Linked DNA regions of Danio rerio. The protein of the gene in region 1 interacts with the protein of each later gene in a biochemical or structural test. Links are inferred from orthologs where the notes say so. Each region holds a gene or a part of one and is shown in the gene's direction. Other genes may lie near its edges. The genes, in order: skib, snw1 and smad3a.

Region 1 (4,325 bases):
ATGCCTGTGATTTTCTAAGTTCCATGAAAAACAAATTAGGCTGTTACAGTTTCACCCAATCTAAACAGAGCCGTTTGAGTTATGCCTCCACTAAACTCTGCTCTTGCAGTTTACAACATTTCTCATAACGGCACTTTGAGATAAAAGTGCATTTTTATTGTTGAGTAGGTTTTGTGCAAATATTTTCAGTACTGCACAGTTGTTCTCAAGAAATCAACACTGAATAACCTAAACTAAAGCAATCCAAATGTTTCAGATTTTTGGGTTTAAAACTGTGCAACACTTTAAACAACTTTAATTAGTTGTGGCTTCAAACAGTAGTATATCAGCATATTATATGGCGAGCTTGAATGTTTTATTTTCATCAGTCAATCATGTGGTTTATTGTAGCTTTATGACATGGTAATAACTGTGCAGAGTTTTTAGTTCTTCTAGATGTTTTGTTTTATACATGATAATCAAGTGTTTTAGTGAAAACTTCCAATTTGTATTTAATGTCAGCTTATTTGTATCTGAGAGTGAACAGATGTTTTTAATTGTTTATTTCTTGTGTGTGTGTGTGTGTGTGTGTGTGTGTGTGTGTGTGTATATATATATATATATATATATATATATATATATATATATATATATATATATATTTATTGGATAAAAGTTTTAATAGATGCATTGTTATAGTTTGCATGAATTTAAATATTTATTTAAATTTATTACAAAATTAAAATTAGAAATCAGAAATTAAATAGTGTGTGAGTGTGTGTGTGTGTGTGTGTGTGCGTGTGTTTGCGCGTTAATATACATTTTAATTAACATGTTTTAACATCTCTCAGTGTGTGCTTATAAAATCATTTAAATATGTAAATAAGACAACATTTATTATATATTTAAATGCAAAATCATATATAATAAATTTATTTCCAATATCTAAAATTTAAATGTAAGGTATTAATGCAAAAATAGTCATTTTATTAATATATTTAACAGTAATATTTTATTTAAAATCTTAAATAATTTAAAACAAAAATACAAATATAGTTATTCCTTTTAAAATGCATAAAAATGTGTGAAAATTATTATATTAGAAAAAAAATCAATGTATCTATTAAGAAAGAGTGTTCATTTTCACCGCGTAAAATATTGAAACACTTTGGCAAGACGATCAAAATAAAACATAAGCTGACATCAATGATTAAATGACTTATCGGTTGTTCCACTCAAAGGTATGTAATCCGCTGCTGTTCATATGTATAAGCTTTAAAGTTTATTAATGAAAGTTACTATAGACCGTGTACGTAGACTCCTCCTCTTGCTGCAGCGCCTTTACGTGTAGTTTGTGTTCCCGCTTTTGCAGCTGCTCGGGCTGCGGGGGGAGGCGGCGCGTCTCCTGGAACAGCCAGCCCGGGGAGTCAGTCACATTCTTGGCCGGGATTCAATGACTGAACCAGACACAAACAAACACTGAGGGAGAGAGAAAGAGAGAGAGGGAGAGCGAGACTTGCACACACTCTCATAGTAAAGCGGAGGCAACTGCGCTTTTACACCAGCCACGCATTTTGCGCGTGAGTACTGTGATTTACACGGATTGAAGAATTACATTTCGACCAAAACTTTACACTTTTTGTGGGGGAGGATTTTCGCCTCGCTCGGAACTCCGGTTCTTTCTGGTACGACTTACAGAATCGGACATGAAGCAGTTGAATGGATTACGAGGCGGTGTTTTACGCTTTCGGAACTGACACGGACTGTCGCGACTCACATTTATGAATCTGTTGTGATTAAACTGCCCAGGTTTAAACATGGAGGCTCCTTCCAGCTTTCAGCCGCATCCAGGACTTCAGCAAACTCTCAAGCAGTTTCACTTGAGCTCCATGAGCTCCCTCGGCGGACCGGCAGCCTTCTCGGCCCGGTGGCAGCAGGACATGCTGTTCAAAAAGGACGGTAAGAGCGCCGAGGTGCTCGTGAACCTCCCCGCGCAGACGCCCCCGGTCATGCCGGGACCCCTGTTCATCCCGTCCGACCGCTCCACCGAGAGGTGCGAGACGGTCCTGGAGCGGGAGACTATTTCGTGCTTCGTGGTGGGCGGCGAGAAGCGCCTGTGCCTGCCGCAGATCCTCAATAGCGTCCTGCGAGACTTTTCCCTCCAGCAGATCAACTCTGTGTGCGACGACCTGCACATCTACTGCTCCAGGTGCACGGCGGACCAGCTGGAGATCCTCAAAGTTATGGGCATCCTGCCCTTCTCGGCCCCCTCGTGCGGACTCATCACACAAACAGACGCCGAGCGCCTCTGCAATGCCCTCATCTACGGCGGCACGTTCCCCCCGCACGCCGACAAAGAGTTGTCCTGCTCCATTGAGCTGGAGCGCACAGAGAAGAGCTTCAAAGTTTACCACGAATGCTTTGGGAAGTGCAAGGGCCTGTTCGTACCCGAACTCTACACCAGCCCCAACGCGGCGTGCATACAGTGCTTGGACTGCAGGCTCATGTTCCCGACCCACAAGTTCGTGGTGCACAGTCATAAAAGGCTGGAGAACAGAACCTGTCACTGGGGCTTCGACTCGTCCAACTGGAGGGCTTATATTCTTCTAGATCAAGACTATAGCGAGAAAGAGGAGAACAGCACACTGCAGCAGCTCCTCACTGAGTTAAAGGGAAAATTTGAAATGGGGAACAAGCACAAGACATCTTACAAGGTGAGCTCAGCCCTTCAACATGCAAATCTGCATGAAAATCTAGTGCTCCAGAGTTATTGTGCAATATTTTACTCCTATATGTTTATGAATGGTGTGTAATTTTACTTTATTGATTCTCATACTTTTGTATTGATCTTTTGCACTGTCTTGTGCGCAATTTGATCACACACCACCTATTAAGCTTGCCATCACCTAAAAATGTCCTATATCTGTGGTTTGTAATTAGTTTTTTCTACAAGACCCAGATTTAAACATACACAGTAGTGATCACTAATTTTTTTTTATTGTAAAAGCAAAAATGTTTTGAGACCATCCATGTGGACCTTAGATCTCCAACAATTTATTAATTTAAAAAGTACTTAAAATGAGTCGAGACAAGGTGACCTCAGCGTAATAATCTGGCCTCTAGTGCTTCAAACATATTATTGTGTAATTTTTTACTCCCATATATTTATTACTGCTGTGTAATTTTTCTTTATTGATTTTCATATATTGATCTTTTTTCCTGTCTTTGGTGCAATATGATCACACAACACCTATTACACTTGGTGTCACATCAGAAAACTGTCCTATAGCTGCGGTTTTACTTGCTGTTCAGATTTAAAGTAGCGACCACATTAAAATGGCTATTCAATCAAGAAAAAATGGTTCACGTCAAATAGTTTCATTGCACAAACACGCTGTACAATGCAAACCTTGCCTTTCCTTTCAGTCTATATTGTTTGTTCAATTTTAACATAAGGATAATGGGTACTATTTAATACCCATAGACCCTTTTATTGAACAGTTCTTAAAATAAAACCTATTTTGTTTGTATAAAGAACATTCCAGTAATCTTAAATGTTTTTTCTGGGTTATAAAAAAAGGTTATATGGATGTTAAAGATTCCAATTAGGAGCACATACACTGGTATAAAGCCTTTATGTTTAAGAATATGTTTTTGAATGCAGCACAAGCTCTCCTCTGTCAGAAACATGGGAAGTTTTATCCCCCTTTCGAATCATTTTGCATCATTCTTTACCAACTTTTTAAGATCATAACAGACCAACTGAAAACCACTGACCTATTGGTGACTTCCAATGCCATCTTGGGGGAAAAAAGTGCACAGTCGGACCACCAACCAACCTCCCCAGTGCATTTGTCTTGTGCCTCTGGATGCACTCAGGGCCATCTGCATATGATAAATGGAGCCTCAATTATGTATTTTATAGGAGCCAGAGATAGATGGGAACGCTTGGGGAAGCCAGCCGAGGAGGAGGAGGATAAGGGTGCTGTGTAGGACATTGTTTTGTGTGTGTGTTTTGGGTGGGGGGCAGGTTGGGGTTGAGGTCAATCTCCAAAAAGCAGTTGTTGTGGGGTCAGCGCTGCCCTTGGTCTGATCAGGCTCCTCACCAGGGTCAGAGACACGGCAAGCGGACAAAAGCATGGCAGTCTCGGGCTGGCTGCTCCTTCCACGCAGCAGCTGTTGAGTGTGATTGTGCTAATGGGTCTACACACATATATGTATGTGTTACCATGGTGTCACTTCGTCGGGCTTGGGATGCATGGTGTGGCGAATGCAGTTTCGTTAATGTGGGAAATGTGAGAGACATGGCACATTTTAGAAATGCAGCGTCATGTATATTTAATAAA
Region 2 (4,130 bases), on another chromosome or scaffold:
TCTACAGTCTTTTTCAATACTCTGTGGTGTGAAATAAACATCTACAAATGAGCCATTATCTTTAAAGAAAGAAGTTGTCTGTCAAGCTGAAAAGCAGGTCTTCAGAACATGTTAATAGTTTTAAATGGAATCTGACATTTGGCAGGGCTCGTAAAGTCCCTTGTGGCCATTTTGCTCAGATAATAGTAACTGTCTTCTTTGCATATGTCTTATTGCTCAAGGCTAACACAGGGTGTAAGAGTCTAACACATCAGTATTCTAAGGCTATACGCACACAGCTCGGCAGCCCTGTGAATTAACACACAATCTGTCTTCAACCAGTGAAATATCCTGGAAAGCTAATACAGATGAATGGGAAAGAGATATTAGCTGAGGAAGTGATATTAACACATCTCTAATCTGTTTTATAGCCATATCTAAACTGTTTTATAGCCATATCAATGCTTTCCCCCCAAGTTTAAATGAAATACAAGCTCTCATGAGGCTGTCAATGCTGTCACCAAGACAAGATTTTGTATAATAGATTCTGTAAGGTGCAATTATGTAGCATAGATTTTAGGATTCTGGATTGGTAATAAACACAGGGAAAAGAGGCTTTAGAGGGGTTTTGGCCATTTGCAGGCTGGTTTCCAGTCATTTCGAGCCTGGTCTTTGCTGGTCAGGCTGGAAAATGACCAGTTAAATTCAGCTAATACCAGCCTGACCAGCCTGGTTTAAACTGGACATAGCTGGTTTTGGCTGGACTCCCAGTCTGGCTAGACTGGTCAAGCTGGTTTTAGCTGGTCATTTCCCAACCTGACCAGCTAAAACCAGGCTGGAAATAGCTAGAAGCCAGCCTGGAAATGGGCAAAACCCCTCTAAACCAGGCTGGTCGACCAGCTAAAACCAGTCAACCAGCCTAGGCTGGTTTAAGCTGGATTTTTCTACAGGGGAGGCACAATTATCTAAAGAATAGGCACTAGTATCTAATAAATAAGCACTATCTAATACAGTTGAAGGAAAAGATACTAGTATCTAAAAATAATCACTAGTAACATAATAATATACTACTAGTATGCGTTATAGCTTAAATGTTAAAACGGCTTGCCATAAGTGGTATTTCCACATGATATGTGCTGTCAGAAGATTGTAGGCTAATGTATAGTCTATACTTTATAGTTTAGATAGGTATATATAGAATGTATAGATATATTCGATACATATAAAGCCTATAAAACGCTAAACTGTATATTATCCTCTTTATACAGTTTTGACAGCGCTTAATCCCTTAATTCTCTAAACATCGCGAGAAGTTATGAGACAGTAGAGTGACGTCAGAACGCACAGAATCCAAGATGTCGCTTACGAGGTAAGACGCAGAGAAGCTGTTTTTAAGGTTTTATGCTTCAATTTATGTGTTGAAACTCAATTTAAAAGCGTACATGTGTTTTTCATGTATGTACATTTACAGTTTGTGAAAACTCTGTGTTAGTTATTACCCAAGTTGTGTTATGTGAGACGATGAGGCCTGCTGTGTTGTGGTCTTTGTATAATAGTGAATGCTAAGCTAAAGCTACAGCCACAGCAAAAGCAAATAATAACATATTTAAAAGATAAATGGACTTTGAATATCTCATTATTATGTTTTTATTCATTATAATTGCTTATATAAAAGCTATTTATAACTTTAAAAATATATATTTATTCCTGGATGTAATGTGTAACGTTAGGCTAACGTTATTTATCATCGTCGTAGCAATTTTATTTATCAGTGTACATATGCACTATTCCAACACACTCATAGCTCTGCTCACCCCCAAGAGACGGCTGTGTTTGTGGCTCTTAATGCTTAACGTTAGGTAGCATTAACTTTTTTTTTTGACGTAATGTTACAATTGAGGCCATTCGAATAACGTTAGTCTATTAATGCAATAATATTTTCACGTGAGATCGAGCCACTGTTTCAACATCAATCACCCACGTTCCAATGAATATAGGTTGAATTTTGCATCTACATTGCAGTAAAGTTGGTTTTATATACGCACATTCTGTTTAGTGTCAACTTATGACATGCTCCCTATATTGTTTATCATGATACTTTGAATATTCAGTCTTTAATCATATACAAGTATGACTCGAAAGCAACATTAGCACAATTTATTTTGATTGTGCAATGGTATACCTTGATAGTCGGTGATTGCTTGGCTTATATGGTTTCTTATGTAGAGTTTGCAAAGAATACTTTTCTTAAATTGTATTATTAAGGAGAAAGTCTGAATGTGTGAATATAAAACAAACCTTACCTCAATTGTTAGCTGATGGTTTAATAATATGTCATCCTGGCTAGGGCTGGGCCATTAGACAAAAATCAAACTTCATCATAAGTCATCATTTTCTTTACTTTATTCATAACGTCATGATGAATGTATAAATATAAACTAAAAATTGCCCAGTGGTTTAGTGTACAGTGCTCATGGTGTCCCGAGTTCGAGGCTTGTGGACCTTTCCTGAACTTCTCTCTCACTTATCTTCCTGTCATTCTGATTTACTGTTTAATAAAGGCAAAACATTTCAAAAATACATCTCAAATAATAAAATTGAAATATTTTTAGATGTTTTTTTTTTAAGATTGCAACTTTCACACAGTGCTGTTATTCATGTTTTTGTCCACATCCTCATAATGTAGTGTAATATTAAAATAAAATAAAAACATAAAATCATTAAAATTCTGAAAAAGTATTACTGTTAATAATGTATTTTGTGACACCACATAGGATAGACTTTTAAAAGAAATTATTAGATTGCACATCTCTTAATCTGACTTGGCTCTTTTCCCCATTCTCTTTTAGTTTTCTTCCTGCGCCCACCCAACTGTCCCAGGACCAGCTGGAGGCAGAGGAGAGGTCTCAGGCATACAGATCCCAGTCCACTGCTTTGGTCTCCACCCGCAGAGACCCTCCTCCTTACGGCTTCAGAAAGTCATGGGTACCCCGGGCTCTAGAGGTACTAACAATTAAACATTACGTGCTGATAGCTGTCATATATCCTGCTGCATTATGGGCTTGTTCCAATACCCGCATTTGTAAATAGTCAAGTGATAAGACCACATGACATATCCAGTGTATTTAGAAAGTGTGGTTGCAAGTGGGCCTGATCAGGGCTGCACGATTAATCGAAAAAAAGATCATGATCTCGATTTGACCCTACACACGATCTTAATTCAGCTTTTCTACGATTCAGCCAATTCAAGGTCAGGACAGAAGCGTAAAGGCAGTCGCACAAGCCTTCACAGCAATATTGACACCTTCAAATGGTGTTAAAAGTGTCACATACTATATTTATAAGGTATAATTCTCCCAGAAATGTCATTACTGTCGAAATGTAATGATGTAATGACCGCAACCTGTTTGTTTACTACCGAGAACACGCACGTGTACAAAAATGACTCCTCCTTTAGTGAACAGAACCTGCATAGGCTGTGAAAAACATGTAATAAAGTTGTAAATAACGTTCAGTTTGTTGCACAGAACGATCGTTTGAGAGTCGTGCTAAAAGAAAGATTTGCATGTGTGTATTGTTTTCTCAGAGTGACTGCAGGCATTAGCCGCACTCGGAAGTGAAAGTAAAGTCGGCTTGCAAATCATTTATATAATCATAACGCGTTTTACAGTTCTGATTACAACAAACATTTGATATGTTTTTTTTCTTTCATAGTGAACACAGTGTTGTGCATGAAAATGAATGTTTGCTATGTCAGGATAACTACCCTAGCCTATATAATGATAAATATAATGCAAGAAGGAGTCTGATAATGACAAATGTCTCATTTTACCAGTAAAAATGTTCTAATGATGTTGTCAATGACAAATGGCAAGCACTTGTCTCAAACATAATAATTCAACTTTAGAATTATGAATAGTTGTATTCTGATGTCATAATTTTACTGTGAATTAACAAACGGTAATAATAAGTGTTATGATATTTCTTTTGGCTTGTCAATCCGCGGTCTTGACCCCTGATAAATAAGAGACTACACTGAAGGAAAATAAATAAATAAATAAATAAATGAATGAATGATATTTCTTTTAAAGGACTTTGGAGATGGAGGAGCTTTTCCAGAGATCCATGTTGCCCAGTATCCTCTGGAAATG
Region 3 (3,139 bases), on another chromosome or scaffold:
ACACCCTTACTTTTTACGAGAAGTGCCATGGGATTTTTAATGACCACAGAGAGTCAGGACCTCGGTTTAACATCTCAACCTCACTGACAGTACAGTGTCCCCTTCACTTTTACTGGGGCATTAGGACGTCCCCTGCTGGCCTCTCTAATACCACTTTCAACAGCAACCTAGTTTTTCCTATGTGGTCTCCCATGCAGGTACTGACCTGGCACAGGTCTGCTTAGCTTCAGTGAGTAACCGGTCTTAGGCTGCATGGTGATATGGCTGTGGCAATAATAATAATAATAATAATAATAGGCAACGCGGTGGCACAAAGGGTAGCGCTGTCACCTCACAGCATGAAGGTCACAGGTTCGAACCCCGGCTGTGTGGAGTTTGTATGTTCTCCCCGTGTTTGCGTGGGTTTCCTCCGGGTGCTCCGGTTTCCCACACAGTCCAAAGACATGTGGTACAAGTGAATTGGGTAGGCTAAAAATTGTTCACAGTGAATAAGCGTGTATGGATGTTTCCCAGTGATAGTTTACAGCTGGAAGGGCATCCGCTGTGTAAAACATATGCTGGATAAGTTGGTGGTTCATTCCACTGTGGGGACCCCAAATTAATAAAGGGACTAAGTCGAAAAGAAAATGAATGAATGAATAATAATAATACATTTAAACTAAGTGGTTAACTCAGGTGCTGGTTTTTGGTCTTATTTATTTGTTTTGTAAATTTGCATTGATCTTATTGACATGAAATGTTGTGACTTTTCCTACACTTGCTTCATACTTAAGTGCTTATAACTTAAATTGGCAAATGTGCTTATCATTGGATGCTGGATAAGTTGGCGGTTCATTGCACTGTGGCGACCCCGGAATAATAAAAGGACTAAGATGAAAAGAAAATGAATGAATGAATGAAATACTTGAGCCATAACTTTAATTTACTGCAAAACTGATGCCTGTCACAGTCATATTTTCTCTTATAATGTTAATTATGTAATGATTTATATAAACAAATTCAAGCAGCAAGAAATACATTTCATTTTTTGGAGCTTGCCTTTACAAGCATTCAAGCCAGCCCCTTTCCACTTCATTTGGCCTAAATAAAATCATATACCTTTCAGATTTTATTAAGTTAGGCTGTCTGTAGATGATTAGATTACACTGATCTGATGCAGTACATATATTTGAATATGGCTAAGTGTATTCATAGTTTTGCACATTGTGTCGGCATTCTGATTTCTAATTATTTCTCTCTCTCTTTAATGGCGTCAGGCGGCAGACAGTGACTAGCACCCCCTGCTGGATAGAGCTGCACCTTAACGGGCCTCTGCAGTGGCTGGACAAAGTACTCACTCAGATGGGCTCCCCCTCCATCCGCTGCTCCAGTGTGTCATAGGAAGAAAAAAAGACTGCACAAACTCAACATATACAAACCACCAGATCTGGAAAAAGTTCCTTCAGGACTCAAAGGCTGGAGATTACAGACTCGGTAGCACTTTCACATGTGTTTGTTTCAATGTTGGAGACATTGTATTATTACAGTATATGTACAGTACATACTTGTTTTTTTATGTTATTGTTAGCCATTTTTATTGCCATGAAATATTGCCATTTATGATATATTTTGTTATATAGCATGTCTATGTGAGATATCTCTTCTCTGTCATGTCTTTTCTGATGCTGTTATGTTAGAATTACCATAACAGAGGCTTATTTTTTTAGAGGCGTGATAAAAAGTGCTTTTTTTGTAAAGTGTAGATATGTCGTTTTTACAAATTTCGGTTAAATCAAAACAACACAAATCTGGCCCAATGTATAATGTTGTCTAATACATATCAAGAGTTTGACATTCTTTAGTTAGGGATGGTTTACATAAAATGAACATTTTAAATCAAGTGAACATTTACTCAAACTCAAGTGGTTCCAAATTTTAATGGATTTCTTCTGTTGAACACAAAAGATATTCTAAGAAATGATGGGGGAAAAGTAGCCCTCATTCATTGTACAAATAAAAAAAACTATAAAAATCAACAGCCGTTGTATCCCCTGCATTTATCTCTCTTTGTGTTTAACAGATTTAAGAAACTCAAACAAGTTTGGAACAAATGTAGAATGAGTAAACGATGACAGAAGTTTCATTTTTGGGTGAACTGTTTTAAGAAAGAAAGAAGAAAAAGAAAGAAACTCTTTGACTCATTTTTCTTTTTTTTTTTTAGAATTCTACTCAAACATTGAATCCCCAAATTAATATCTGATACATATCAAGAGTTTGACATTCTTCTTGACGGGATACTTTACATAAAAATGAAAATTTTCAAATAATTTACTCACACTCAAGTGGTTCTAAACCTTTATGAATTTTGTCTTCTGTTGAAAACAAGATATTCTGAAGAATTTTGGTGGAAAATCAGCCCTTGACATTGACTGTACAAACAAAAAATACTATAAAAGTGAAGAGCTGTTTCGTTCCTACATTCTTCAGTATATCTTCTCGTGCGTTTAGCAGAAGCAAGAAACTCAAACAAGTTTGTAACAATGAGTGGATAATGAGTAAGCGATGACAGAAGTTTCATTTTTTGTCCCTTTAAAAAAGAAAGAAAGAAAGAAAGAAAGACTTTGAGTCCTTTTTCTTTATTTTAAGAATTCTGTTCAAACATTGAATCCCTAAATTAATGTTGAATACACATTAAAAGTTTGAGATGTTCTTCTTGAAGGGAAAATTTGCATAAAAAAACGTTTAAAAAAAAAACGTTTTTACCTCTTTACTCACATTTGAGTGGTTTCAAACTTTTATAAATGGTTTCTTCTGTTGAACACAAAACAAGATATTCTGAAGAATGTTGGGGAAAATAGCGCTTTACATCCACTGTACAAACAAAAAATACTATAAAAGTCAAGAGCTGTTTTTCCGTACATTCTTCAGTATATCTTCTTCTGGTGTTTACCAGAAGAAAGAAACTCAAACAAGTTTGGAACAAGTGGAGAATGAGTAAACGATGATAGAAGTTTCATTTTGAGTGAACTGTCCCTTTAAAAGAAAGAAAGAAAAAATAAAGAAAGAAGGAAAGACAGTCTTTGACTTCTTTCTCTTGTTTTATAATTCTGTTCAAACGTTGAATCCCCAAACTAATATGGCTGATCAAGTTGTCCCTCAA

What was found.
Region 2: the proteins of skib (region 1) and snw1 form a complex in vitro, tested with the Homo sapiens proteins (2 studies listed by BioGRID). The link is inferred for Danio rerio from reciprocal best matches to the Homo sapiens genes SKI and SNW1.
Region 3: the proteins of skib (region 1) and smad3a form a complex in vitro, tested with the Homo sapiens proteins (8 studies listed by BioGRID and IntAct). The link is inferred for Danio rerio from reciprocal best matches to the Homo sapiens genes SKI and SMAD3.

The regions. Positions count from the first base shown.
Region 1 is NC_133186.1:27,900,292-27,904,616, reverse strand, and holds the start of skib (v-ski avian sarcoma viral oncogene homolog b), read left to right. Parts: upstream 1-1,468; 5' UTR 1,469-1,796; coding exon 1,797-2,693; intron 2,694-4,325. UniProt on the Homo sapiens protein: May play a role in terminal differentiation of skeletal muscle cells but not in the determination of cells to the myogenic lineage. Functions as a repressor of TGF-beta signaling.
Region 2 is NC_133195.1:5,549,587-5,553,716, reverse strand, and holds the start of snw1 (SNW domain-containing protein 1), read left to right. Parts: upstream 1-1,322; 5' UTR 1,323-1,334; coding exon 1,335-1,348; intron 1,349-2,828; coding exon 2,829-2,982; intron 2,983-4,070; coding exon 4,071-4,130. UniProt on the Homo sapiens protein: Involved in pre-mRNA splicing as component of the spliceosome. As a component of the minor spliceosome, involved in the splicing of U12-type introns in pre-mRNAs.
Region 3 is NC_133182.1:34,183,079-34,186,217, reverse strand, and holds the end of smad3a (mothers against decapentaplegic homolog 3a), read left to right. Parts: intron 1-1,256; coding exon 1,257-1,380; 3' UTR 1,381-2,592; downstream 2,593-3,139. UniProt on the Homo sapiens protein: Receptor-regulated SMAD (R-SMAD) that is an intracellular signal transducer and transcriptional modulator activated by TGF-beta (transforming growth factor) and activin type 1 receptor kinases.